Linked DNA regions of Arabidopsis thaliana. Each later gene encodes a partner of the first gene's protein in a complex. Each region holds a gene or a part of one and is shown on either strand. Other genes may lie near its edges. The genes, in order: U2AF35B and AT1G60900.

Region 1 (5,044 bases):
CCTGGTCTTCTCTCGGCATGGAGCCGTTGCCTGGAGATATTTTACTGTTCCAGAATGCTCTCTGTCAAGTTTTGCCAGAATTGCTTGTACATACAAAGATGGTGGAGCTTAGCCACTGTTGTTGCTCCTTCTATGGAAAATTTTGTCAGCGGTTTTCCGATATACTGTCTCCCCACTCTCTCACAAAAGATAGTATCTTTGGGGTGGCAGACCCATGGACCGTCCCTCCTCTCCCACTGAATCACAACCATGAGATCTCTTTGGCGGCATACTACAACACAACAAAAAGGATAAGTCATATAATCCCATCTACTTAAGTTTTAGCAAGTGATTGAACCAATTCCTAACATCTTTTGCGACACATTTACTTAATAAAACATTGAAAATGGTTTCCCGTAGCATCATGAACCATGCTCTGATACCACACTTGTAAATAATAACTTTTTGAGTTATCGAGAACAAAATCCATTAAACATGAAAAGTGGACACTAACAATAATAAAACTGACTAGGGCTTGGCATTCGAATACACGCTCCGATACGCTTCGGGTTTTTTGGGTTTAGGCTCATAGCACCCATTCGGGTATTTATAATATTTGGGTTAATATTTGGGTTGGGTTCGGTTTCTTCATTCAATCCACCCAAAAAAATCGTACAACATTTATCTCTTTCCCCGAACAATACAAAGTGTTTAAACCTTATAAGAAGACATTGCAAGGGACAATCATAAAGAACAATAACCAAGGGATCATTACCACATTAACTTAGAAAAACTGAACCCATCATTTGCCTCACGAACTAGTTTCTAAACAAAAATTCTACAAAATACAGTAAACACCTTACATCATCTAAGGAGTTCATGCCACTCATTTTTCAAGTTCAAAAAAAGAACACCAAATGAATATCCATTACAAGATTTTACCGATTTTTATGAAGTAATCAGCCCAAACGATACCCTTAAACTCCCTCATCACGTTCTCGGTTCCATTGCTCAATTCTCGCCCTCCTTTCCTCGCTTCCTTCTCTCACATTTCGTGGGCTTCTGCTCCGTTTCGGGCTTCCATGTCTCCTCCTTCCACCACCATCCCGATCATGCCTCTCTGATCTATCACTGCTCCTTTTCCCATTTCCATGCCGGTCACGGTCCCTAACGTCCCCTCTCTCTCGCTCTCGCGAATGCTCTCTCTTACGTCGAGGGCTTATACTCCTGCTTCGACTTCTGCTTCCCCGACGGTATGAACGACGATACCTCCCAAACAATTTCCTCCTAAGCTCCCTCGAAATCTGCTTCACATGCATGAAATTACAGTACCCACCACGGTTACAGCTGTTTTCTTCATACTGCCTACAAGTAGCTTCCCTAAAATCCGTCACAGGAGAGAAATCAGCAATGATAGGACGACCGGAATAAAATCTCCCCTGCAAAGCCTGCAACGCAGCAGCTGCGTGATCCTCCTCCTTAAACAGAACATACACATTCCCAATCATATGATCAGCAAGATTGTCACAAACATTGAGACTCTCCACTTCACCAAACTTGTTGAGTTCTTCGAAAATATCTTCGTAGAAATCCTCAAAGTGGTCTTGGATCTTACTCGGGTCTAACGGCTGTCCCTGAGGATCCACACCTGGAGTTATCATGTCAGGTCTCTGGTACATGTTCGAGAGGAGAAGCGTCGGCGAGATGGTGGGACGGTTATGAAGCCGTGAGCACCGGTCACCGTGACGACAAGCACCAATCTTAAAGTAAAACGGACAATTCACTCTATCCTTTTCAGTACCAAAGATTGAAGCTAAATGCTCTGCCATTCTCACCTAAACATAACAAAAATCAAATTCAACTAAACACAAATTGTTCTTCTACGCTTATATGATAAATCAAATCACTACAAGAACGATTCAGAATCAGAGACGAGAACCAAATCTAAGCTTATAAACGAGAGTTAACACAAAATCAAAGAGAATCAAATCAATGAACGAATCAGAATCATGAATCGTTGTCAAATCTAAAACAGATCGAGACGTTTCTAGTCATCGAGTGGAGATGAGAATCCGAAACGGAGAGAGAGATTGATTAGAGGAAGAAGAATACCGAAGAGGATTTTCTTTTAGTGGAAGAGAAGCTATCGCCGACGAGGAGGTGCCGTTGCCGATCACGATCTAGGGTTTAGGTTTATTTGATTAGCGACTCGTGTGAGCCGGAGAGAGAGAGAGAGTGTGGTGAAAAAAAGAGAAAGAGATATTAATATGGGTTTATTTTGCAAATAAACTATTCTACAAGGAGGAATAATAAAATAAACTATAGAAAGTTACAATATTGGTCCTCGTCAAAATCGTCATAACATAACGAGGATTTTAAGATTGATCCTTTTGTTGCTCCGGCTCAGAACCGAATAAACCAAACTAAACTGAACTGGATTGGAAGGAAACGAACAGAACTAGATAATTAATATCTGAATGATTTTTTTAAAAAAATATGGGAATAAAAAGAGCTAAAGCTTCTCTCTCTCTTCTCTCTCACAAAACCTTCAGAGAGGGAAAGCTTTTTGTCTCCACCTACAAGAATTTTCCGATGATAGCCGTTCCAAATAATTTGGGCTTTTGCCCGGTATCTTCTAGCTCTTTTAGTGGAGATGACCGGTTCCCGTACGGCAAATCCTGCTTTCATAAGAGGTTTTGGCCGCTTGTATCCTTGCTCGTAGTCAATCAGTTTTATGCTGATTGCTTTGATATTTTAGTTTTGTTTTTCAATAAATCTCAACAGATTTGAGATGGTAATTAGTTTTAGGTGCTAGTTACTTAAGATTAATTTCTGTCTTGTGTCTTTAGAAACTTCGATTTGCAGAAATCTATCAAGCGATTATGTCTTCGGGTTGAAAGATTGAAGAATATTCCGATGCTTATTATGATTCCTTTTTGCTGTGTCTTTTAAATGGAGCACCGTTCAGTTTTATTTCGGTGGTTACAAGGATTCATTGTGCGATGTTTCGGCGATGCATTCCTCACCGGATTCGGTGTTCATCGGCGGCGAAGGTTGATGTCGGTACACTTCCGATGACTCTTCATCTTGTGTTGCAGTTGTAATATCACGTGGACACGTGTATTGGATAGAGTCCAAATGTCAAAACATCTTTATGCCGTAGATGTTAATCTTATGGGCTATGTTGGGCCTAACTTTTCTTTCTGCACATATCGTTGTAAGCTTTAATGCTTTGTTTCCTCTTTTGGTGGTTAATATAATACACTTATGAGAAGAAAAAAAAAAAATATGGGAATAAAATTAAAAATAAATTAAAAATCTAGTGAATGTCAGACTTATCTGAAATACAATTATATATCTAAAATGTTATTCTTAATTATATTTCAAATAATCAAGATAGCCAAATTTATAATTTATAATTTAAAGATATTAGTTATGTTTACACTCAAAATAACCAAACTATCTGAAATAACTGAAATATCTGAATGTTTTTAGAATACTTGAAATATTTAACCAAATTATATTTGTCAAATTAAATACTTGAATACAATCTCCAAATAATTGAATACTTAAATACAATTTTCAAATGAGGTTTTTTTTTATATGAAATGTTAAATTTATTTGATCAATGGTAAAATGAGGTTATTTACAAAATGAGTAAAATAAAAAATGGAAAATCTATGAAATTCTGTTTGAACAAAATAGTTAGAGAGTCATTAATTTTAACCTCCACATGTTCAGGATGCCCTCTAACAGCAGCTTTCATTGGTAAAGAAAGTATTGCTCATTTAAGGTTCTTACGAGTATGTTGTTAAACATTTTTGTTTCGTACATATCCCTAGACTTAAATTTAGGTGATCAATCTACTTTTAACATTAAAAAACCTAGATGTAAAATCAAATAAGTATCCGTGGTTAAATATATTTACCCGATCATTCCATAAGTTTTTATCGAACCCTTAAATTCAATAATGTAACTAGTGACACATACCAAAAAACGGTCACACAAGATCTTATAAATTTAAGAGATATTATTAGAATAAGTAAAATTTATACGAAAAGTGAAAATAGATATTTAAAAATTAAATCATATGAGAACTAATACGCAATTGCACCATTAAACCATTCTTCTTAATTTTGAAAGTCATTTTCCTCGATGTATACTTAACTAAGTGTTTTATTTTCTCCCTCTTAGTATGTGTATATATATAGTACGGTGTTGTCATCTTCATCGATCAACTTCAATAATAAATTTTAGTACATCCTTAGCTAAACCAGTACTATACCAAAATTCAAGAGTCAATTTTTTTGCTTTTTTAAATAGAAGAAAATTTTATATATTTCTTTGTTTACATGAATAATTTCTAACAATCCCATTAACTTTGACTAGTAAGAATTAATTTGAATAATAATAGTATATATACATATATATATAAATATATATTTGTTTGTTTACGTGAATAATTTCTAACAATCCCATTAACTTTGACTAGTAAGAATTAATTTGAAAAACAATAATATATATATATTAAAAGTTATACTAAAACTTTTAATATTTGTAGGAATGCCCTACAGATATAAAACATTTATGCCCTTTATTTGTTTTTTGCATAATCAAAAAATTAATAGTATATAAAAGTTATACTAAAACTTTATAGATTTTTTTTTTTGAACTTTATAAGCATTTTGTAAGCAAAAAAATAGGAAAAAAAAACAAAATTATATTTTTTAAATATACCTCTATTTAGATTTTTACCTCCAAAACCATTCATCAAATTCACGTAATCGAGTTTTTCAAACATAATTGTCTTAATGGATAGCAAAGCCAACTCATTTATTTGATTAATAAAAACAAAGTTTTTATTTTGTAATCAAAGTTCAAGCACCTTACATTAGAAAGTCTTTGACTTTTTTTTTGTAATCAAAATTTTAGAGTTTAAGGTTTTATTTTTCTTAAATCTAAAATTTTACTAAACTAAATTCATTAATAAGACATTTTATTAATTTAAAAAGATGAAAAAAAGATAGTAAATGAAAAGTTTAACAAATATAAATATATAGAAAAA
Region 2 (6,635 bases), on another chromosome or scaffold:
CACTCAAGATCCCAAAAATTGTGTCAGAGTTCCAGTCAACCAGTACCATCTTCCTCCTGGTTGTCAAAACACTACACATTGTTATCGTGAAAAGTATCATATTTAATTATGTATTCATATATACAAATCATTTTCTACTAAATATGAAAAAAAATTTATCACTAATCTACATTATTGATGTGATATGGAACTTGTTACATTATCAAATTTTAATTATTTTAAAATTCTTTCATTTTTTTTAACTTCAAATTATTGTTATATATATTTTAATAAATTATAAATTAATGTGTTATCAGGCATAACTTCAAGTTCGTGTAACATGAGATGTGTCTTGTGAAAGCATGACATGTAACTTTCGTTGTAAAATAAAATAAAAAACAAATGAGCTCAGATATGAGGCTATATTATCCGATTCATCGGAGAATTGCTAAGGACCCAACCTTAGCTTAAAGCAAATTTCATCAACGCTCAAATGCACCAGCCGGGAATTGAACCCGGGTCTGTACCGTGGCAGGGTACTATTCTACCACTAGACCACTGGTGCTACTTGCCTACTATCTTACTTTTCTAATATAAATCCAGTATTTCACGTTTAGTGAGAGCAATTGCACATGTTCCAGCATTGCATTTAGAAACTGATGTGGTTTGGTCTTTTAGTTTTTAAAAGAACAATAATATAAACTGATGTGGTTTGGTTAGTGTTCAATGAAACCAAAAGCTACTATTACCAACACACACCTTAATTGATTGTGCCTGGACAAGTACTATTGCAGTCAGATTCTAGACAAATTTCTCCATTTAGTAGAGAGAGAACTAAACATGTAAAAAACTTAAAAATAAAAAAGAACCAAACTTGTTGCTAAGAGATCCAAACTAAAAGCTTAAGAAGAAGACGATAGATAGCTCAGTCTTCGTAGTCGCCTTGGGCATACTTGTCTTCGGGGTAATACACAGCCACTACTTGGTTTCCTCCAAATTTTCTTCCATTCATCCCCGATCTGGCCTTTGATGAGCCATCCACATCCGCATACTCTAAGAAAACCTGCATTAGTATTACCATTAGAGTATGCAATTTATATATGAATTTGGTAGACATTTGTATCTGAGGACTGAAATCTAACCTTCCCAACTCCTGGTGTTGGGTCATGATCTGGATTAGGCCTCGGAATCACAACATTCACTAAGTTACCTACACACACAACAATGATTTATCAAAGTTCATTTTAGACCATGAGCCTCAGTAATGTGCTATTGGTATAATGTCAGAACAGACAATAAGAAAATCTAATTGCTTACCGAATTTTCCACCTTCTTGTCGCATGTCCTCCATTATCTCTGCATATTCTTCATCGTCTCTAAGATCATCAGCTGTAACCACTTGAGTCAAACAGACAATCTTGGTGGGAGTACCTCCTGGTTGGAACATAAGCCTCTGCAACAAAGTTTGAGACAGATTTAGCATTACTGATCATTTAGATAGAGTGAATCAGAATCCTTTACCTGCAAAGCAATCTGTTGTTGGGCATAAAGTAAGACTTCTTCTTGCTCGGGTTTAGGTTGAATTGCACCCTGGATTGCACGCCTAACTGTAAGTGTCTTATCACCCATCTTAATCCCGTTTAGAGCGGCACATGCAATATCTGTTACTGACGGATCTTGGTAAACACAGAATGCATATCCCTTCGAATTTCCAGTCTCCCTGTCTTTGACCAAGTTGAAACCTCTTAGGGGCCCAAAAGACTCCAAGAGCTCCCTGATCTGTACCTCTGTGAAGTAATAGGGAAGTCCGCCCACAAAAATGCGGTCGGGACCCTCAAGCCCACCAGTAGACCCTGAAGACAATCCAACAGCCCCTAAGTTGAGGTTGGGATTAGGCTGGCTCGGACCAAGAGTTGCAGCAAGAGACGGGTTATAGTCAGTTGGCCTCCTCACCTTTACAGGAACTCCCTAGAGATGAAAAAAGCTATGATTTCAGATAGGTTTCAATACTCATAATACAGATTGTAACTAATAAACACCAAACATCTAAAGTGTAGAAGAGCTAATAAATCACCTCTAATATAATGCCGTCTAATGCCATTGCGTTACTAGCCTCCTCAACAGATCTCATCTCTACAAAAGCAAACTTCTTTTCGTGGTTTATATAAACATTGACCACCGCATCACCTATGAATTAATAATCCAAAAAAAGGATGAGATTTCGTATAGACTTGCGGCCAATATGACAAAAATATAATGAACTTTTCAATACCTGGCCCAGCAGTGTTTCCCCCAATGGCCGACATCACTTGGCTAAAGAACGTTGACACCGACTAGGACATGAAAACCCATTCTCAGTAGGCATACAATGGATATTGAAATGTGGTTTAAATAGACAATAATAAACAAAAAGTCACAAAACCTTAAACAAAACAAAAGTAACAAACCTGTTCATTAGCAGTTGGTGGAAGGCCACCAACATAGACTCGCCGAGCATGCCTAGTTGCCTGCGACTACATATTTTAGGAAGGGAATCGTGACAAAAGGTGAAGAACCTAAGAATAAGATAGATTGATAGATCGTACCTGTTGAGTCATTGCCTGAACTGGCAGTACAGGAAGCGCACCTAGTTGCTATGTGAGAAAAAAGATTGAGAAGTTCTGAGCATGTTCGCATAAAACAAAAGAAAAGAGGAACATAAGAGACACAAAAATACAAATTTTTATACCTGACCAGGGACCATTGGAAACATGTTTGAGAACATCCCTGGAATAGTAGCAGTAGTTGGCACACTAGGAACCTGGCCTGCTAGGTAAAGTAGTATGCGTCATAAAAATGTTTGTTAGATACATTATTATGTTTCCCGGAGGAGCAGACCTACCAACAAGTACAAAGCTACAGATAACACCTTGCTACTTACAAAACCCACAAGTAGAAAGTATACCAACAACTTATGAATATTAAAATGAAAAGTTGTGATGTAATATTCGTTTTAGTTGTCAGAGATTGTAAGGCTCGAAAACAGGCATATAGTTGCCAGTCGAAGATGAAAAATACCCATGACAACCGTTGCACTGATTCCTCCTTGTACAATTAAAGCTAGAGAGGTCGGCTCATTGTCAGCACAGTGGGGCAACTAACCCAACATAGCCTTCTTACTACAAAAAGACAAGACACAGAAACAAACAAACACCACCAAAAAAACACAAACAAAAAATTTCTCAGTTCCAGAACCACCAGTCAAACAAAAATAACAAGACATCCTATGAAGAAAGCAAGACTTCAAAGTCCTCTTTGTTCACGAGTAAACAATAAAATTGCAGCTTACCAAAGTCACACCGTGTAATTGACTATGATCTTTCCAAACTACGTAAAATCAAAAACAACAAGCAGTTAAGAAATATAATAACCCTGAGTAGATGATGAAGCAAATACCTGCTGCAGCAACAGCAGTAGCAGCTAACATATCAGGAGGCGCCATATCAAATCCACTTCTCCTCTTGCTGAAAGAGCAAAATATAATTGGTTAGACATCAGTAGAGACGAGTTCGAAAAAATAATGCCAAGTAAACGTATGAAACACACATAAACATCAATGACCCAGATCAGACTAAAATATTGGTAATCATATAAGGAGGGACCGTTCAACCCAGTAGAAGACCATGATAATCATATTGTGTCAACAAAACAAAGACATCAAATACTAAACAATAATGGTTTTATTTGATTTGACATCAATATCATAACACATTGCAATGTGGCCACGGAAAGAACTAGTTAGAAAAGATAAAAATAGCAGGAGAGCCCAGGTACCTCTTTGACCTTGATCGCGACCGTGAGCGTGATCTATGTTCAGACTTATGTCTATGTTCTGACCTTGACCTACGTTCAGAGCGGCTCCTTGACCGAGAGCGTGACCGTCGCCTGTGTCTCACCTCTCTGTCTCGATCGCGAGACCTCCTCCTGTCGAGAAATGACTACACCTTCAATTTTAAGAATAAAACAATCTAAAACTACAAAAACAATTGCAACACACTAATGAGTACCTATCACGGTCTCGACTTCTGCGATGATGATCATCATCCAAATCATCTCTTTTCTCACTACGTTCTCTGCTACGGTCCCTATGACGATCTCTATGATGACGGTCTCGTTGCCTATCCTTACTTCTCTCCCTATCCCTATCTCTATCTCTGCTTTTCTCCCTATCTCTGTCTCTGCTCTTCTCCCTATCACGATCCTTCTCACGATCACGATCTTTGTTTCCGTCTTTATCACGTCCATTTTCATTGTCTTTCTCACTGATTTTCGAAGAATCCTTTTTAAGATCATGAGATTCCTGCAGGAAACAAATGTCAAAAGGCTTCTCTCATATACTATCCCCAGATTTCTAAAGAGAACATATGAACTTAACATGATAATATATACTCTAAATCCAGTGAATCCTTCAAATCAAACTATCAAAAACATAAATTCAACAAGCAGAATCCGAGAATTGTACCAAATTACAATACAAGTGGAGAACAAATTATGATTACCAGTCTAATTCACGAGAGAAACCTAAAAGCTACAGAATCGAACGCAAGATATGTAAAGAAGAAAGTGTAACATACTCGAGACTTGGAGTCTTCATGAAAAGGCGAGCTCTCTAGAGATATGTAGTTCTCGTTGTGGTTTTCGGTGGAGATAGCGACACCATCTCCGTTGCCTTCGTAACTCATCATCCACTTGTGATCTCTTCTCCGATTGGTACTTATCGTTGAGTCTGATTGTGTATGGAAGAAAACCCTAGGGATTCTAATGGAGGATGAATTAAAAATTATGAAGATTCTTCGAGGAAGATGAAGTGATATATGGGTATTATTGTAAATTGAACAGTATTTTTTGGTGTTACACCAAAACCGTAAATGGGCTTGTCTAGTCCAAATTTGAAAACTAGGGTCTCATTATACTTAATGGGCTTATCAGCTTTATCGGCTTATAGTCTAAATTTTTAGTTTCTATCACCAAAAAAAAAAAAAAACTAAATATTTTAAAAATTGATCATTCTAATATTGTTTTACATTATTATTTTTTGTGTAATTAAGGGTTGATTATTATTAGATGTCTTTGTTTATGACTTTTTAAAAGTGTGTTTTATAAGTCTTTATCTGATAGTTTAAAGTCACATATGTTTCTAGGCGTAACTAGCAATTGAAGATGAAAGACCACGTTAAAACATCACAAATATCTCCGGCGTTTAGAGGTTTCTCTCACCATGGATCAAATTCAATTGTTGACACAAAATATTACAAAAAAAGAAGAAGTTTAAATTAGCTTTCATTTGACGGTGGTTTGAAGTTAAACGTACTGATGGATTGGAAAAACATACGATTCTAGTGAAAACAAGTCAACCTAACAACATATATTGCAGAGACTGGTCCACACTCGATCCCTTCATGGACCGTAGCATTCACGGCCAATCAATCTGTTCATTGAGTTTTGACTAGTGTCAATAATTCATAGGATTTTGTTTATATGAAATAACTTTGATATGAGTCAATAATTCATACGAATTTGTCTTTTTCTGTGCTTCTTGAAGAATCCTTTTCAAGATCATGAGATCCCTGTTTTAAAACGGAGATGTCCAAGGCTTGCTTCGTCATAAGTACGACGAAAAGTAAAATGCAATTATATCTTCGAACATCTCTAGATCCTATTATTAAAACACTTAGGGTTACTAGGAATAGATTCATGTGGAGTGTGAATTATGAAGATAGATATTTAGGAGCCCATTAATCGTTTAAAATTATGGCCTCATTATGATTCATTGGCTTAATAGTCTTATTTTTTATTTTATTGTATCCCAAATATATACGTTTGGACACAACCAGTTTTACGGTAGAAAGATTCGAAACATCCCCATATTTTTATAATTTGACTACCATAATATTGTAGAAAGAAAGCATAGCTATTAGAGACTAGTACTTACCAGTTTTTTTTGGGTTATTTTATTTTTAGTTCTAAAACTAAGATAGTTACAAAAACAGATGATTCTAAATATTATTATGTAAATTCTAAATTGATTAGCATTAATTTTAGTACAAAACCTAATAAGCATCATTACAATAATGAAAGACTGCAAGACCATTGGATTGCTAACTTATATATATATATATATATATATATATATATATATATATTGGGTCTTATTAATAATATAAAAATTTACAAGTTTTTTACCTGGTAGTTATAATGGTAAGATGGTACATAATGATGTATAAAAAAGAAAAAGAAAAATAGTACAGAAAAACTGTAAAAAAACAGTGTAACAATTTTGATATTTGATTGATAAATTTATAAATTGTAGAAATTGTAGTGCTTTGATTTTGTTCACCAATCAAAGCCATTGTTTGTTCAGTTTGTCAAACAGTCGACAATAGAAACAGTCATAAAATGGTGTTCTGATGTTGGGCCCAAAATTTTCTTTTTAATATTACCCTTAATTTTAATATCCTTTTCAATTGGATTTCTCTTTTGGTTTCCTTAAGGCAAAATTTTTGGTTGACTAGAGAAATATAGAAGAAAATAGAGAATGGGGGCAGAGATGCATGAATGATGAAAGTGATGAAAAAGGACGAGAGGGAGAAAAAGAGAGATAGATGATAGGTGATGTG

What was found.
Region 2: U2AF35B (region 1) and AT1G60900 share a complex: the UniProt entries of both Arabidopsis thaliana proteins name them as parts of the spliceosome.

Annotation. Positions count from the first base shown.
Region 1 is NC_003076.8:17,169,489-17,174,532, forward strand, and holds U2AF35B (Zinc finger C-x8-C-x5-C-x3-H type family protein), read right to left. Parts: upstream 3,300-5,044; 5' UTR 2,770-3,299; coding exon of another isoform or gene 2,476-2,769; 5' UTR 2,092-2,475; intron 1,815-2,091; 5' UTR 1,809-1,814; coding exon 957-1,808; 3' UTR 603-956; downstream 1-602. Other genes in the region: AT5G42825 (uncharacterized protein), read left to right, coding at 2,476-2,769. UniProt on the Arabidopsis thaliana protein: Necessary for the splicing of pre-mRNA. Probably active at the 3' splice sites.
Region 2 is NC_003070.9:22,422,076-22,428,710, reverse strand, and holds AT1G60900 (U2 snRNP auxilliary factor, large subunit, splicing factor), read right to left. Parts: upstream 4,818-6,635; 5' UTR 4,704-4,817; coding exon 4,593-4,703; intron 4,319-4,592; coding exon 4,026-4,318; intron 3,943-4,025; coding exon 3,793-3,942; intron 3,483-3,792; coding exon 3,415-3,482; intron 2,785-3,414; coding exon 2,708-2,784; intron 2,613-2,707; coding exon 2,565-2,612; intron 2,487-2,564; coding exon 2,427-2,486; intron 2,313-2,426; coding exon 2,252-2,312; intron 2,167-2,251; coding exon 2,054-2,166; intron 1,948-2,053; coding exon 1,501-1,947; intron 1,433-1,500; coding exon 1,297-1,432; intron 1,190-1,296; coding exon 1,122-1,189; intron 1,043-1,121; coding exon 905-1,042; 3' UTR 658-904; downstream 1-657. Other genes in the region: AT1G60913 (Rapid alkalinization factor (RALF) family protein), read left to right, coding at 1-106. UniProt on the Arabidopsis thaliana protein: Necessary for the splicing of pre-mRNA.